Pelodiscus sinensis: one gene and its partner. The protein of the gene in region 1 purifies or fractionates together with the protein of each later gene. This does not show direct contact. Links are inferred from orthologs where the notes say so. Each region holds a gene or a part of one and is shown on either strand. Other genes may lie near its edges.

Region 1 (7,945 bases):
AAATTAACTCATTGACTTGTTTCAGGAGCTAGACTTTTTCTCCTCTACAAGTATGAAGTGCCTGGGCATGACAACTGTGAGCAGTAGCAGTGAAACCTACTTGCCTAAACAGAAACTGTTCATCCATCAGTGATGAGGTGGATGAGTATGGGGAGGGAGTGGTGGGGGGGATGAGGAAAGTTGGTAGGGGTTTTGTTTCCATGCCTCAAAAGTTTCCTCAGGAAACAGGATTTTGCAAAGCTGTTTTCTGCAGTGATGCAAGGTCTGGTTGGGTCCATCCACTGAGTATAGGTAATTAAAATGCTGCTTAAACAGTGAAGGCACTTCAGAAGCTTCAGACCTTCTAATTGACTTCTGTAATGGATATTTTTGAAATTATGCATTTTTATCCTCAACTGAACACACATTATGAAACTTTTTTCACTGCCATGATGTTTTACTGAGAGACAGCCCCACCTGCTGGCAAAAAGAGAAATTTTACCTGCTAATATAAAAGGGATTTTGTACTTCCTTCCCTTTTACTATTATTGTGAGACACTGCTATAATCCTTTCAAGGTGACAGTGAAAAATTCAGCTGTAACAGGAACAAAATAGGTATTAAACCAGAATAACATTTTTGTTTTGAAATATAAAGTTTTAAGCTTAAATTTTTATATATTTTTTGTTTGCCGGCTGCTCTTGAGAAGCTGAAGAGGTGCAGGCTGAAGCGGCTGCAATGACAAGACTTAGTCATTAATTTCCTCACAATCCAAGAATGAGATTAAGTGTTAATGCTTCTGATTATTTTCTTTGTATGTATTTTGTATTGTATCATTTCCTCCTCCCTTGTATTCAGACTGCACATGGCCTGCAGTTAGAGAAAGATGGCACATATAGTGCAACCCTTTATTGTTCACTAATTTTCACTGTTGTGAAAGTGATTTAGAATAAAAAAATGGTTTTACATTGACCTAAGCTTATGTGGATTCCCTCTTTGTAAGGAGGGGCAGTTCCCATGCCCTGTGTTACTTGGAATTATCACTGTAGTAGTCAGTACTGTGAATAATGGCAGAAAAATTTAGTTATTTTATATCCATATATTGTGGAAAGTGTTAGCAGTATCAGATCTGCTGTTTGTACACCTGCACTGTAGGATATATGTCCATGATGTATTTTTCACTCAGAGAAGGAACCAGCTGTTGCTGTCTCCGATAAATAGCAATGAAACAGTCTTTGAGGCTGCTGTATTTTAGGCTTAGAGCTGAAGATGCTTTTGTGCTAGTATATATATATATATATATATATATATCTATACCAGCTATTTCTAGGCTAAACAAACCATGATTCTGAAATGCATTAACGGGGGTATTGTGAGCAAGACACGAGAAGTCTTTGTATCCAATTCTGGGCATTGCCTTTCATGAAGGATGTGGAGAAATTGGAGAAGGTCCAGAGAAGAACAACAAAAATTATTAAAGGTCTAGAAAAGATCTACTGTATATCTGAGAGAGTTGGCCATCCCTCTGTCTGTGTGTTTGTTCAAGAACTAAATAGGAAGAGGTAGGACCACCAAATTTAGTATACAACTTCCTCATATAACTTAAAGCAAGATAAGGGTTTAGTTGTGCCAGGAAAATGGGCTGTGCCTGGAATAGGATTGCTTCTCATAAAACCACACAGAAAAGAGACAGAATCACCAGTGAGGTGAGAGGTGCAGGGTGGAGGTACTGTCAACCCCACAGGTGCCCTTTAGTGGGGGGAGGGCTGAAGCCTTCCTACCCCCCCACGCTCTGCTCCACTAGGGATGTAAGCAAGAACCCAACTACCCAATAAGCCTCAGAGTTAGGACCCCCTCTCTTCCCACAGACAGAGGCTGCTTGACCCAGCATGAGCTGGGACTGAGCAATCCTGACTCAATCCTGGCTCAGGCCATGTCCAGGAGCTATGGCCACTGTGGCTCCGCAGTTTAAATATAGTAAGAGCCGGGAGCTCTGGTAGCCCAGCTCCTATTACATTTAAACTACAGAGGCGCAGCAGGGGTAGGTTCATGTAGTCAATACAATTTATATCACCTACGGATTAGAGTATTACCCATTCTTAATATCCTTACCCCCCACCCTAATTTGTAGGGGGACATTGCTGGGGAGCGAGGGGAAAGTGCAGTTTGCTGCATACCTCATTCTTGCTGGAGAGCGTAGGGGAAGATGGCTCTCGACCTGGACCTGTCCAAGCTGGAGGACATACACTCCTCCTCAGGCTATGCCTGCTGGAGCTGCAGCAGCCATGGGGAGGTACTTCTCACTTGGCCCCAAGCTTCTGGAGTGATAGGGGGCTGAACAATTCCTCTCTCCCCAGGGCAGCCTGCATACTGGGGAGGTTAGTGGCTAGATGGATAACCATTTAAGTAAGTGCTTATCAGTTAACCGTAGTGATTAACCACAAATTCCCTCCCTCCTCTGCATGCTCTGCATTAAAAACTTGGACCTGTGCACTGTCTCACTCCCAGCCTGTTGGGGAGCCACCTGCAGCTTCACACTGCTGCTTCTGATACAGAGGCAGCAACATGGGGCAGCAAGAGGGAACCAGTCCAGACCAGGTACTGGTTTAAAAACTAGGTCTTGCCTGCTTCCCCATCCATGGGATGCTGGAGGAACCTCTGTTGGGATGTCAGGGTGCACCCACCTGCCATCCTGCCTCTGTACCAGAGGCAGCAGCATGGGATGATGGGGGGATGCCTGGGAGTGGAGCCAGGAATGCACTGGCTGCTGGCACTGCCCCCAAGGACCATTGAATAATCATGTAACTACTAAGAATGGTTGCAGTTACATGATTATTAAACATTTTCTAACATCCCCATTGCATACTGAACCCCTCAACACCAGCCCCACCCAGAGCATTGATTTAAATGAAGCATGGACATTTTCAGTTTATTTTCCAAAAAACAAAAAGTTTGTTAAGCTGAACAACACTAGGTAAATCTTCTAGTGACCTATGGAGGAAGTTTGAAAGAATTTGGTTTGTTTAGTCTGGAAAAGAAAAGACTGAAAGGGGACATGACATAGCTTTCAAATACCTAAAAGGGTGTTACAACTAGGAGGGGACAAAATGTTCTCCTTAACCTCTGAGGATAGGACAAGAAGCAATGGGCTCAAATCGCAGCATGTGAGGTTTAGGTTGGATATTAGGAAAAACTTTCCAACTGGTTAAGCACTGAAATAAATTGCCTACATAGGTTGTGGAATTTCCATCACTGGAGATTTTTAAGAGCAGATTAGATGCCTATCTATCAGGAATGGGGGAGGTTGTGCGTAGGGAACCTTTTTTGCGTTGGGGGCCATTTTTAGCCCCGGGCCTTAGGTTCCCCACTCTTGGTTTAGGTGTTTGGTCCAGGGGACTGGACATGATGCAAGGTCCCTTTCAGTTCTAAGTATTCTATGATCTGTAAGATTAAATTATGCCTCTTTGAATAGAGAAAGTAAAAAAGCAGAGGTTCCTTTACTTCATTCCTTATGTCTTGAAAAAATGTACAGGCAGTCCCTGGGTTACATGGATCCGACTTACATCGGATCCCTACTTAAAAATGGGGTGAGGCAACCCCGCACTAGCCGCTTCCCCCCAGCAGACCAGGGAGACGCGAAGCTAGCGCCTCCCCCCAGCAGACCAGGGAGACGCGGAGTGGCTTTTCTCAGCAGACACCTCAGCTTGAGAATAAAGGACTGAGGGAAGTGAGGTGTGGGAGAATAAAACTGAGCTCTGGAGAAATGTTTGGCTAGAGTTTCCCCTACATTATGTACCAGTTCTGACTTACATACAAATTCAACTTAAGAACAAACCTACAGTCCCTATCTTGTACATAACCCGGGGACTGCGTGTAGTATTAACCTTTTGGAAATCAGGAAGCTCTCTTACACGTGGGGTGAATTTCCTCAAGGAGGGGGACTTGTGAATGGCCTGATTGGAGTTCTGCCTGCATGCCACTGTCATGGTTGAAAGAGTTATGCTATCACTAGGGCTATGTATACACTGCAGGCTTTTTGCACAAGAACAGCTGTTCTTGCACAAAACCTTGCAGAGCAGCTACACTGCACACGTATTCTTGCACAAGTAAGTTTATAGACCAGCATCAGAAAACAGGGTTTCTTCCAGAAGAGTTATTCCTCTTCCCCTGAGGAATAAGCCCTCTTGTGCAAGAGCTCTGCCACAAGAAGGCCGTGTAGACAGGCAACATGAATTTCTTGCACAAGAAACCCCTACGGTTAAAACGGCCATCAGAGCTTTCTTGCACAAGAGAAGTCCACACTGGCAAAGACACCTTGTGCAAAAGCACATGGCCGTGTGGATGCGCTCTTGTGGAAGACCCTTTGCACAAGACCTCGTGTGTAAAACAGTTCTTGGGCAAGCAGCCTGCAGTGTAGAAGTAGCCCGAGCAGACCTGAGATTTCAGAGGAACATTAAAAAACAAACAAACCCGCAGGGTAACAGGCTAGGCTGGGGGGCGGAGTAACCCTGTCAAGGCACCGCACCCCTCCGGGTTAACAACAGGGCGGAACAGGACGGCGCCAAACATCGGCACCGCAGGCAGCTTGAGCCCCGGCCCCTTGCAGCGGCGTCTGGCTGACGCCCCGCCCCCAGGCCGCCAGCTGCTCTCGCACGTGCGGCGTTCCGGAGGCGCTGGGACTGAGCAGAGCTGAGCTCTGATTGGCCCCCTCCCGAGAAGAGGGCGGGCTGTGGCGCGGAAGTGGCGGGGAGAGTGGGGGGGTGAGTTTCTTATCAATGGGCCGGTCGGAGATTGGCCCGTGACCATAAAGAGGCGGCGCTGCCAGGGGTGGGCGGGGCTGTGATTGGCCCGCGGCAGGGAAAGGGCGGGCCCCGCCTCGGGCCAGGTGCATTTGATCCACCCCGCGCCCCGTAGAGGCTGACGTCACGGAAGGCTGGAGACCGGCTGGGGGCGATGGCGGGGTCGCCAGGTGAGGGGCTGAGTTCGGGTCTGGGCGCTTCCCCCGACCGCCTGCAGGGCGCGGCTCCGCCGCCGGGCCGGGCCGCCTGCCTGCTGGGGCCGCTCCCTGGTACCCGCGGGGCGCCGGGCTGCAGCCCCCTCCCCGGCCGAGGGCATCGGCCCCGCCCCCTCTCCAGGGACCGCCCCGCCCCCTCCTCTAGTCCGGCGCCGCCCCGCCCCCTCTCCAGGGACCGCCCCGCCCCCTCTCCAGGGACCGCCCCGCCCGCTCCTCTAGTCCGGCGCCGCCCCGCCCCTCCGCAGTCCGGTCCCGCCCTTCCTCTGGGACTGACACAGCCTTGCTCTCCTGCACCCTGGGGGCTAGCCCCTCCCCTGGACCGGCACGGCCCTGCCCCTCCCCCCCTGCAGTCTGGCACCAACCCCTCCCCTGAGACTGGCAAGCCCTGCACCCTGCAGTCTGGGTTAGCCAGTTCGCTGGAACCTGGTACAGCCTCTTCCTGACCTAGGGACCAGTTACGGGCCAAGCAATTGGTCGTAACTCGGTTTGTTCGTAAGTTGGACCCCATTGAGTTACATGTGACCACGCTGTTCATAAGCGCGGATCGTGTTTGTAACTTGGGGTGCGCCATTTACAACAGCTTTGGTCGTAACTGTGAACGGTCATAAGTCGGCCGTTTGCAACTTGGGGACCAGCTGTATAGCTTCTGCTCATGTGCTCCCTGCGTGTCCAGGGCCACCTTCATGGCTTGGCGGAGGCAGCCAGTCATGCTATCTGTCTTGAGTGCTGGACTGTAAGGCTTGCTTTTTTCTCTGGCATACTGTTAGCGGGAAGGGGGTGCTGCAATGTAAACAATGTATGGTCCTACAGCACCTTAAAGACCAACAAAATATGTAGATGGTGTCATGAGATCTTTGTGGGCACAGCCCACTTCTTCAGATGAATGGAGTTTATTAAAGGTCCAGTTCCAAAATAAATAGGGCATGGTGGAGGGGAGAAGGAAAAAGGAGGAAAAAAGTTAGGCTTGTTCATGCTACATGAAGCTGGTAAGAACAATTTGCACTTTCTCTAAGTACCCATTGTTTGGTCTGTTAAGTCATTAGGATGTAGATGGTATAGGATGTAGATGGTAGTGCGCTAGCCAGGTAACATCTTTATGCATACCTTTGTGAAGGTCCTAAACTTGTAAATGAAGTAAAGTTCCAAGGCTTCCCTGTTTTGGGTGGGGGAGAGACTGATTTAGGCTGTGACTGCAGACTAGCAGGGCACAGAAGTCCACATTATTAGGTCATTATTAGGCACAACTGAAAGCTGAGTGTGCAGCTCCGTTAGCTGCTGCATGCAGCATCGTTGATATGTATGTGAATTCAGAGTGACCCTGCTATTTGCAGACTGCATATATTTTAATGTTCACCGGCCTCTGACATCCTTTTCTGGCCAGTGGAATCTGGGCATCAACTTGAAGCTCAATTTGCACTGTTACTTAAGCTGAAAGACTGTAAATGTCTCACTTGATAATGTAACTTTCCTGTTCAATCTCCTCTTGTTTCTTTCATTGGTTATTACAGGTCCCCCTTAGTCTTAAATATTGATCTTTTATAACACTGTTTTCTGAAACTTTAGTGAACTTTTCAGCAGAATTTCCCAACCTGCCTAGTAGGCATATTGTAGATACATTGGCTGTGCAGCACACACAGCAAGCTTGAGAGGGTGATATTCAGTGGTTAATGTGCGTGGTTCCCTGTCCCACTCCTCACTGCTGCCTCTGACACAGAGGCAGCTGCCTGGAGGAGCAGGCGGGAGCTGGTACAAGCCAGCTCCCTGTCTGCACCAGCTCCTGGGGAAGCAAGTGTCCCCTTCTCCCCCCCCTCCCCATGTGTAATTGCTCAAACTTTCAGCAGTTACATGTTTACTTTAATATATGCATGTTAACATCCTTGTCTCTCAGCCAATGTTATGTACTATCAGCATGCACCTCACTTCATGTGCCCTTGCTTTACATGCAGGTTATATTGGTAGGGGAAAAATGAAACAGATTAAAACTGGAGGAATCTGGCAGTCCTATTTGCGAGCAATGGTAAACAAATTGTCTCATGGGCGCCACTCAAAACCCCAATGAGCTGTGTGTGGTCCTCAGGTTGCTCACAGCTGCTTTTAAACTCTTCTCGCTTTGAAAAGTGAGGGGTAGCAGCAATGTTTGTCTGCATCTGTAAAAACAAAAAGTCCCCTTAGCACCTTAGACTAACAGATTTATTAGGGCATAAGCTTCCATGGGTAAAACCCAGTTGGTCTGACTGCATCTTTGTCTAATATCTTTGTCGTTGAGGGCTCTCTCTGTCTTATTATCTGCAAAGGGTACACTTAAGTAATGAGGCATTTCCTTTGCTCATTCATCACAGGGCATTCTTCTTTTCATTGGGGGATTTTGAGTTCAATGGCATACTTTGTTGATTACATACTGTTGTAAGATCAGGGCCTAAGGCATAAACCACCCTGACCATACTTCTGTAGTCTCCTTCATCCTTATTGTTTCCTCATACCTTAGTCAACAAGTGATCACTTCAGTTGAAAATAGAATTTTTCACTTTTTGCTCTCCTAAATTGTTGTTGCATTCATTACCACAGCAATGCAACATCTGTTTAATGTTCACTTGCTAGGTAAGTGATTACTGAGAACTTAAGTGAATTTGACAAGTCCTGTATGTTACCTCTGGATGACTGTCATTGTTAGTTAACTGCAGTGCAGTAACTTGTGCCTTTAAACTGATTGGGGCAAAGGCTCTTGTGTACAGTATGTTGTATGCTTATGATACTAAACAGAGGGAGATGTATGTAAAGAATCAGTATCTTATGCACAGACTGATTTGTCCAACAGGAAGTCTAGAGCTAATTCACCTGGCAGTAGTTTGATTATTTTATTTACATTTTTGGGCAAATTGAACAGTTTTGCTTCCTGTCCTCTTGTGCTTGGGAAGTTACACATGCATTCAGGGAATTACCCTGTACTCTGGCA
Region 2 (8,139 bases), on another chromosome or scaffold:
TGGCTGCCCCCCAGCAAATGCTGTATCCCCTAGTTCACTCAAGGACCCACACCACCTCCCTACCTTGGGGGGGGGGGGTCCCTTATCCCATGTTGGATGTCTGGTTTCTCCCAAGGTGGAGGACAGGACTGGAACCAACCACCCTGAGCTCCCCCAGCAAGTATCCTATCGATCATACTCTAAGCCACTCCAGAACCCCCATCACTACCTTCAGGTGTCCCTTAGCTCCTGTCTTTCTAATGCAGGCATCAGCTCCCATCCCTGGAGCAACTGGTGTTGGCTGCCAGGGCACTGCCTGAGTGGGGGCTGGGGAGTGCTTGAGTCTACCACCCTGTGGTCCCAGAGATAGATCTTACAATACACACAAAAAGCATGTTTTTGCGCAAGTAAAATAAAAGAACAGAGGGTTTTTTCCAGTGTAGGTATTCCTCATTCTACAAGGAATAACTCCTTTTTGTGCAAGAGTTCTTGTGCAAAATGGTGTGTGTGGATGGGCAACAGGAGTTTTTGAGCAAGAATTGGCCTCCAGGAAAAAAAAAGGTGCCTTGGTGGCCACTCCGTCCAAGGTAATCAGAACTCTATAGTTCCTGTCTGGTGGCCCCCCTTAAAGCTGCAGGCACCCTGGAAAAGCCTTGTGGCAGGAAGCCAGCCAGAGAGCAGGTCCCTCACCGTGCGGTTCTCTCTTGCCACTGGATTGCCACACATGACAGATCCGGAAACCCCCTGAGGCTCCCCATGACCTTCCAGGGAGCAGCCGCAGGGGTCCCAGGATCCCCCCCAGGGGGACCAATGCTTCCACTTGATCCGGGTCTGAGATAGCAACCCTCCTCAAATTGTGGGGCGAGGAAGAGTCGCTCCAAGATCCCTGAGCCAAGCGGCAGAACGCCGAGATTTTTTCAATGATGGCCGTATCCCTGATGGAGTGAGGTCACCCTGCCTGGACCATGGAGCAGGTCCGGAGAGAGGTGAAGGAGCTCTGTCAGGGTATGTGAGGGCCACTAAGTGCAGTGCATGCTCAGGGGCAAGACCCCACACCTGCCCCTACTATACTGACCTCCACCACGTCTTAGGGCATGGAGAAACAGCTTCCCCACCCAGCATGGTGGGCTCAGGGCAGGAAACCCCAGTTGTCATCTGCCCAGAGGTCGCCCCTGAGGACGAGCTGGAGGGCCAGGGCCAGCCCCAGCCAGAGGAAGAGGAGCAGGAATCAGAGATTGTGACCCTGTTCCTCAAGCTGGTCACTGTCAGCCAGGACGTCTTCCAGGCCTCCTTGGATGTCTGGGAGGGATCTTCAGGTGAGCTGTCACACACACACAGGGTGGAGGAGGCGGGCACACAGGGAGCAGGGGGTGAGTGTTGCTCGGGCTGCACATGGTGTTGCAGTCTGTGCACGTGCAACCACATGCAGCGGGAGAGTGTGGCACGCAGACACAACAGGCAGCCCCTGAACACGTCTGGGATCCTGATATCAGGCTCAGGGGAGGGCACACACGTCCTGCCCCCCGGGGAGAGAGAGGGTGCTCCCGGTTGGAAGCAGGCTAGCCACAAGGATACAGGCACGACCCCAAACACACCCAGGAGTGCTGCACAAAACACACAGGCGTGCCTGCACGTGCAAGGCAGTTGTCACTCCCACAGACAGCACAGCGAGCCACAGCTATGTGTGCAGACCCCAGGGAGGGCCAGGCTGCTCCCGGCTCCTCTGCATCCCATGAGGGGATCCCACTATGGACGGACACTTCCCTTGCCTGCCTGTCTGTGGTGTGTGTGGGGGGGAGAGGGTGTGAAATTGGGCAGCATGGTCCTTTGGGCACATCGAGGCCCCTGTGAGACAGGGCATGCTATGGAACCTATACATGGCCTTGCACCCAGGACATCCCCCTTCTGTGGGTCGCAGACTGTTCTGGTCGCCGCTCACAGAGGAGGGCACGGCCTCAGGGAATGTGTGTGCAGGGATGACTGACAGCCTTTCCCTCTTTTGTGGGCTTTCTCCAGTGCTGTTCGCCTCCTTGCAGTGTTTGGTCAGGCTCAACTGGACCATGACTGAGCTGGTCAGCTTCGGGTGGGGAGTATGCCAGGGGTATCCGGTGTTGGGCCAGCTGTACGCTATGGCGATCAAGCCCTTCCTCTGACTCCTCCACCACAGGTTGACGGGGTTGGTGCTCCAAGAATTAGAGCTGCGGCTCATCCTGTCAGCGTATGCCCATGATGTACTCCTTATGGTCTAGGACCTGGGCGACCTGGTGCAGGTGGAGTCCTGCCAAGCTGTCTACTTGGTGGCCTCCCCCGTCCAGGTCAACTGGGTCAAGAGCTCTGGCCTAATGGTTGGGGATGGGTGGCAGGCAGGCTCCCTCCCACCCATGCTTCAGGTCGTCAGATGGAGCGTGGGTCCACTGCTTTATCTTGGCATTTTTCTATCCGCCACACATCTCTCCCCGCAGGAGAACTGGCAGGGTTTGGAGGCCAGGGTGGCTGAGTGGCTGTGGAGATGGACAGGACTGCTCCAGTGTCTCTCCCTGCAGAGGTAGGTGCTGGTGCTGAACCAACTAGTCCTGTCCATATTCTGACACTGGCTCAACACCCTGAGCCTGGCCCCAAAGGTCCTGGCCCGGCTCTAGAGGATAGCCTTGGAGTTCTTCTGGCCAGGACTGCGCTGGGTCTCTGCAGGGGAGACCTCTCAGAGCTACCAGAGTTCTACCAGGAACTCGTTCAGACCTGGAAGCTGTGTGCAGCGACCAGGTTCATTGTGGCCACCGAGGGATCAGACCTCCTCGTGGAGCCTGTGCTTCACAATCCAGCCTTGTGCGTTCAGGTGGTGGAGTCTCCCTCGGTGCACCTGAGGTTGATTCTGGCAGAAACCACCAAAGTCGGAGATCTCTTGGACTACGACAGGGGGGATTGGGAGGATCCCCGTGTGCTCGCTTGGTGCATGGAGCTTTCCACCCTTTAAACCCCCCTGCCCATGATTCAAGTGAAGGTGACCTTGTTGCAGCCCATTCTCGATTTTCTGCAGCAAGCCCTGTGAGAGAGTACGCCCTGCCCCCCTCACTGCAAAAACGTCCTCCCTTTTTCTCGGGTCCCTGTTACGTGTCCCCCCCACCCCAACCTTGCCATCCTTGGATCCCCAGCCAGCTACAGGATCTGCAACCAGTCTATTTCTGAACTGCGCCCAGAGACCACCTGTACACGCTTGTGATCCACACGTTACATTTCCTTACCCTCGTGTCCCACCCCGACACCATATGGATGGACTATCTAAGATTTGTTTAGGGTGAGGAACCTAGATGGGCCAATGTTTATTCCACCTTAATCCCACAGCCCAACTGAGTCATCAGTTGGCGGCTTCTCCTTGAAGCTGTGAGCACGGGCATGCACCTGGCACAGTTCACCCCCAACCCAGATGCCTGCCACGTTTGAGGTGTGAGGGAAAACCTGGCACATGCATATCTGGAATGCATCAGGTTGCAGCCCCTCTTTTGGCTCCTTCAAGACCTCTTGCTGAGGTTCTGGCTACACTTTTCCCCTCACCTTTTTATTCACGTACTCCCCATCCATGGCCCCACAAAGTCACAAGACCTTCTCAGCAACCTACTCTTGCCTCTGGCAAAATCTGTTATATATAATACCAGGAGGAGAATGTTGGATGCGGGGGTGCTCTGCAACTGTGGGACCTCCTTCTGTTCCTCCCTAGTTTCACAATCCAGGTAGAGTTCCTCTGGGCGGCGTCTACTGTTTCCTTGGACAGCTTCAAAGAGCAGTGGGCACTGTCTGAAGTTCTCTGCTCAGTGTCCCCATCTGCTCCCTTGTTTTAAACCTTTGACCTGCACCCCTTGATCCTGTTTTTCATCATTTGTCCTAGAGATGTTAACTATTGGTTATTTTACTAGTTGATAGAATTTCCATCGACTACTCAATTAGTCAATAGGCACTTCCTCCTTTGAAATGTACAAGTGCCCCAGCAGGAATGTGAAATGCCAGGTGCAGCCTGGGGCCAGCAGGAAGTCCAGCTGACTCCAGGCTGCAGGCAGTATGCCAGCTTTGAAATGTACAAGAGTCCCCAGGGGCAGCTCTTGTGTATTGCAAAGTGGCAGTACAGCACAGAGAGTCCCCCGCTGACCCCGCTGCCAATTTGAAATGCCACATGGAGCCTAGGAGTCCTGAGCTGACCATAGTTCCGCACAGCATTTCCTAGAACCCGGAGGCAGCTAGAGACTCCCTAGGTGATCCCGGGTTCCGGGGAAATGATGTGCTGGATCCAGGGATCGTCTGTGTGGTGCTGCCACTTTGAAACACTGAGGCAGTGTTTCCAAGGGACAGCACCGCCACACAGCTCTTTTTTTCCCTTCTTCTCCCTCCACAAATTTTCCCCGGTGGCTTTTATTTTTCCTTGAAACATTTTTGTCCGTTTTTTTTAAACCATCTGGCAACCCCAGGGGTTAACTGCTCGCGAGGGTCAGTGCTGGAAAGCTGCAGCTCTGAGGCAGTTAGTTTTCGGAGAAGTGCGCTCCCTGGCCACGTGGTTCTGCAGAAGTTTGCGCTTGCCCTGAGGGCCTCCCAAAGACACGTACACTAGCCCTGAGGTGAATTAACACTGGGCGGTCGCTAGAGCTAGGGGCGTGTTCTGCCTTTTTGCGAAGGCTGGGGGTTGCCAGGGCAGGCCACGAGTCCCGCAGTTGGATCGTGGCAGCAAAGGCAGGCGGGCACGAGAGAGACTCGTGACCACCGCACACGCCCTTCGCGCCAACACACGGTTTGCCGTAACACAAGATGGCCGCCACCTGTGCGAATCCGAGATGGCGGCCCTGACACGTTCCGGACGGAAATTCCCAGTCGCGCTCAACTGGGATGGCTACATTGGGTGACGTCACGGGCCCCTACGCCTCTTCCTCGTCCGCTTTCAGACAGCAAGAACCCCTCCCGCTTACTCCTTCCTCCCTGCCACGGAAGTAATTGTTAGGTCACAGGTATCGTCACAGGACTTCCGTCCCAGCAAGCCCCGCCCCGCCCGTGAACATCTATTGGCCGGGCGCGGCAGGAAGTGATGGGCGCGGAGGGTCAGTGATTAGAGGGGACGTCAGTCGAACTCGGCAGTAGGGGTTGTAGCGAAGCCGGTTTGTGCTGGGGGTACCCCTCCCTGCCAGCTGTATGGGCACGGGGCGCTGCCCGCATCACCTCGCAGCGTTCCTGGGGACTGAGCTCATGGGGCGGGGGACCTGGACTTGGGGCAAGTGTTGGGGCTGCTGATCTGGGGTGCCTGGCTGTCGGGGGTATTGGCAAGTGTGTGTGTGGGGGGGGGTGCTGATCTGGGGTGACTGAGGGGCCCAAGGATGAGGAGCGTGGTCAACGCTGTTCTGGGATTGCCTGGAGAAAGTGGAGGGCGACTGGGAAGGAAATTGATGTAGGGGCTGTGGGGGATGGCAGGTCAGAGGCATGCTGATGTGGGGGTGTTTGGGGCTTGGGAGCAGGGGTAAGTGTGGGGCTGCTGCATCAGTGGATCTGTGTGAGAATGGGTAGGGAAGCCTGGCTTGGGTGAGGCGTGATGATCCTGTCTGCAGGGTCGGTAGGCATCCAGGGATGGTGATGAAGAGAGAGAGGAGGCGTGAGTAACTGCTGCGTATGCAAGGGAGTTGTCACAATGCAGTGATGAGCTAGGGCCCACTGTGGTGAGCACTTACCGCCCATGCACAAATTTAACTATGGGAGTAGAGGCAAGTGGCACTGTTGTAAGCAAAGTTGTTCAGTGTATAAGTGTTGACAGGATTGCTTTGGGCAAGTGATAGTAATTTCAGTGCTATGTATCAGTTCTTTGTCTGTACGTACCCAAGAGATGGGCAGTGTAAGGGTAAACTGTAATTCATGAAGTACTTTGAAAATGTGTACTCTACGTACTGAGGATTATTATTTCTCCTTTATTTTCAAAAGCTTAATCCTTTATGAGATCCCAAAATGAATGAAGAATCCAGTCCACCTGAAGAATTGCTCCGTGGCTTAAAGCTTTCTGATCAGAAATCATCAGAGAGCACCAGTCCTTTGACAGTTGGTTTCAAAGATGGACATTTTCAAAGAAACCTGGACCAGGGAGACAGGCATTCTTCTGCCAAAGAGGCTGGAGCAGCAGAGGAGTGCTTTCATGACTGTAAGGACTCCTTTGAGGTAAAGGAATCAGATATGGAACAGGAGAAGCATGCAGATTTAGATGAAGAATACTTATTAGAACTGGAAAAAAACATGCCAGAGGAAGAAAAACAGGTAACCTTTTTTGAGATTATCTGTTTTAATGTATTAACAATTTTTAAAATTCTAAACATTTTCTCTTTTTTTACATTCAATGTGCAAATTAAATTTATGAATGCTACTTTTAATGCTTTTAAAAAGAAACTGGCAAGTTAATTCACTTAACTTTTTTTGTATTATGAAGAATACCCTAAAGGGACAATGTCAGCTGAAAAAAAAATGCTTTCTGTGTGCTTTTTTTTTTAAGTGCTACATTGTCCTTCATTTTGCTTCTGCTTTCTGTGTGAATTTTTTTAATCTTTTTTTGCTATAAGTAATAACTAAGCCCATTATAACTACAAGACTGTTTTGCTTTTTCATTTTACTTTGTATATTTGACAGCAGTTTCACTGTTTTTGCTGTTTAAGACTATTCTCTAATCACTGACTGGGTAGAAAGAAACACTGCAAAAAAAAAAAAAATAGCATGATTACCCCCACTGTGGCTCTGCAGAATGGTGCTTATTGGCTAATCGTGTAATCAGTACAAATTGATTAGTCAGATAACTGCAATTTAACATCCCTAATATTGGGGGATGGAAAGAGTGTATTTGTGTGTGAGTGGGTACATCTACACAACAGCGTTATTTCAGAATAACTGACATTATTCCGAAATAACATAGTTTGCATCTACACTGCAAGCAGTTATTTCGACATAATGGTGAGCTGGAGGACTTCTTGTTCCAACTCCTGTAACTCTTATTTTACAAGGAGTAAGGGAAGTCAGAGGAAGAGTGCTCTTTCTCAGACTTCCTGCTGTGTAGATAGCTTATTTCACTTTTTGGCACTATTTCATCTTGAGCGATGGTCAGTTGTGTAGCTTAAGTAGCGTATCATATTTCGGCTTTAGCCCTGCTGTGTAGATGTGCCCAGAGAGACCTGGCTGGTGGAGAAATCTTAGGAACAGAGCACTGCCTCTTAAGACAGACATGCTTCTCAGTCACTCGTCATACTTCAGACTGGAGTGTGTTTCCCTCTCCCCAAACCCTGCTTTGCAGAGATGGGGTACAGAGGCAGGGGAAACCCTGACTTCAACACTCCTCTTTTTCCTTCTCTGCACAGCTAGCAGGAGGATCTTGGGAGCAGCTCAGCTACAGGACTGAGCAAAATGCAGGGAGGGGCAGCTGAACATATACTGCCTGCTAATCAGCTGAGTGGGCCAGATGCAGCCAGTGAGTTGTATTTTGCCCACCTCTGATGGAGACAATGGTGATATATTTTTTACTCTCGTTCTTGTTTTTTTAATGCCTAGCACAGTGGTAGGGGTCGGAATCCAATTTGATTATTAGGCTTCCAGGCACAGTACAAATAATTTAATAATATAGTTTGAAGGCTGTTTGAAAGTTCCTATAATGAATACCTAATTTCTAGTAAAAAATGAATAATAGAAATTAACCAGTAGGAAGAAGCTAAGTCTAGTGGCTGGAGAACAGGGTTGGGATTCAGGAGTTCCTCAAATGATTTCCTCTCCAGATTTGGGCAAATCACTTTACCCTTCTTGTTTCCATTTTTTCCATCTCTAGAATGAGCATTGGGAATGTTATTATTTGCCATCTACTTTGACATTGTCTAACAAAAGGTGCTACAGTAGTGCAAAATACTAGTGACTCTTCATTTAACGTCCTCCCAATTTGTGTTGTTTAGATGTTATGTCCCTGCACTTGGCATTGGCCACTGTCGAAAAACTGGACACGAGGGCTAGATGGACCTTTGGTCTGATGGGCATTCTTATGTTCTTATTTATCTATGTATTTAGAAATATCTGCCTACCTGTCCATCTCTGAGTCTGTTTGTTGAAGAATTCCTAAGCAGTGAGAGCTAGGACCCCCAAATTTGATACACTGCTTCCTCTTATCATAATTTAAAG

Evidence for each region.
Region 2: the proteins of LIMK2 (region 1) and TTC1 purify together in Homo sapiens (affinity purification with mass spectrometry; 3 studies listed by BioGRID and IntAct, counting the BioPlex papers as one, with this or other methods). This does not show direct contact. The link is inferred for Pelodiscus sinensis from reciprocal best matches to the Homo sapiens genes LIMK2 and TTC1.

What each region holds. Positions count from the first base shown.
Region 1 is NC_134725.1:8,457,902-8,465,846, reverse strand, and holds the start of LIMK2 (LIM domain kinase 2), read left to right. Parts: upstream 1-4,780; 5' UTR 4,781-4,931; coding exon 4,932-4,947; intron 4,948-7,945. UniProt on the Homo sapiens protein: Serine/threonine-protein kinase that plays an essential role in the regulation of actin filament dynamics. Acts downstream of several Rho family GTPase signal transduction pathways.
Region 2 is NC_134727.1:15,204,064-15,212,202, reverse strand, and holds the start of TTC1 (tetratricopeptide repeat protein 1), read left to right. Parts: upstream 1-4,901; 5' UTR 4,902-5,054; exon of another isoform or gene 5,055-5,224; intron 5,225-5,922; 5' UTR 5,923-5,946; coding exon 5,947-6,249; intron 6,250-8,139.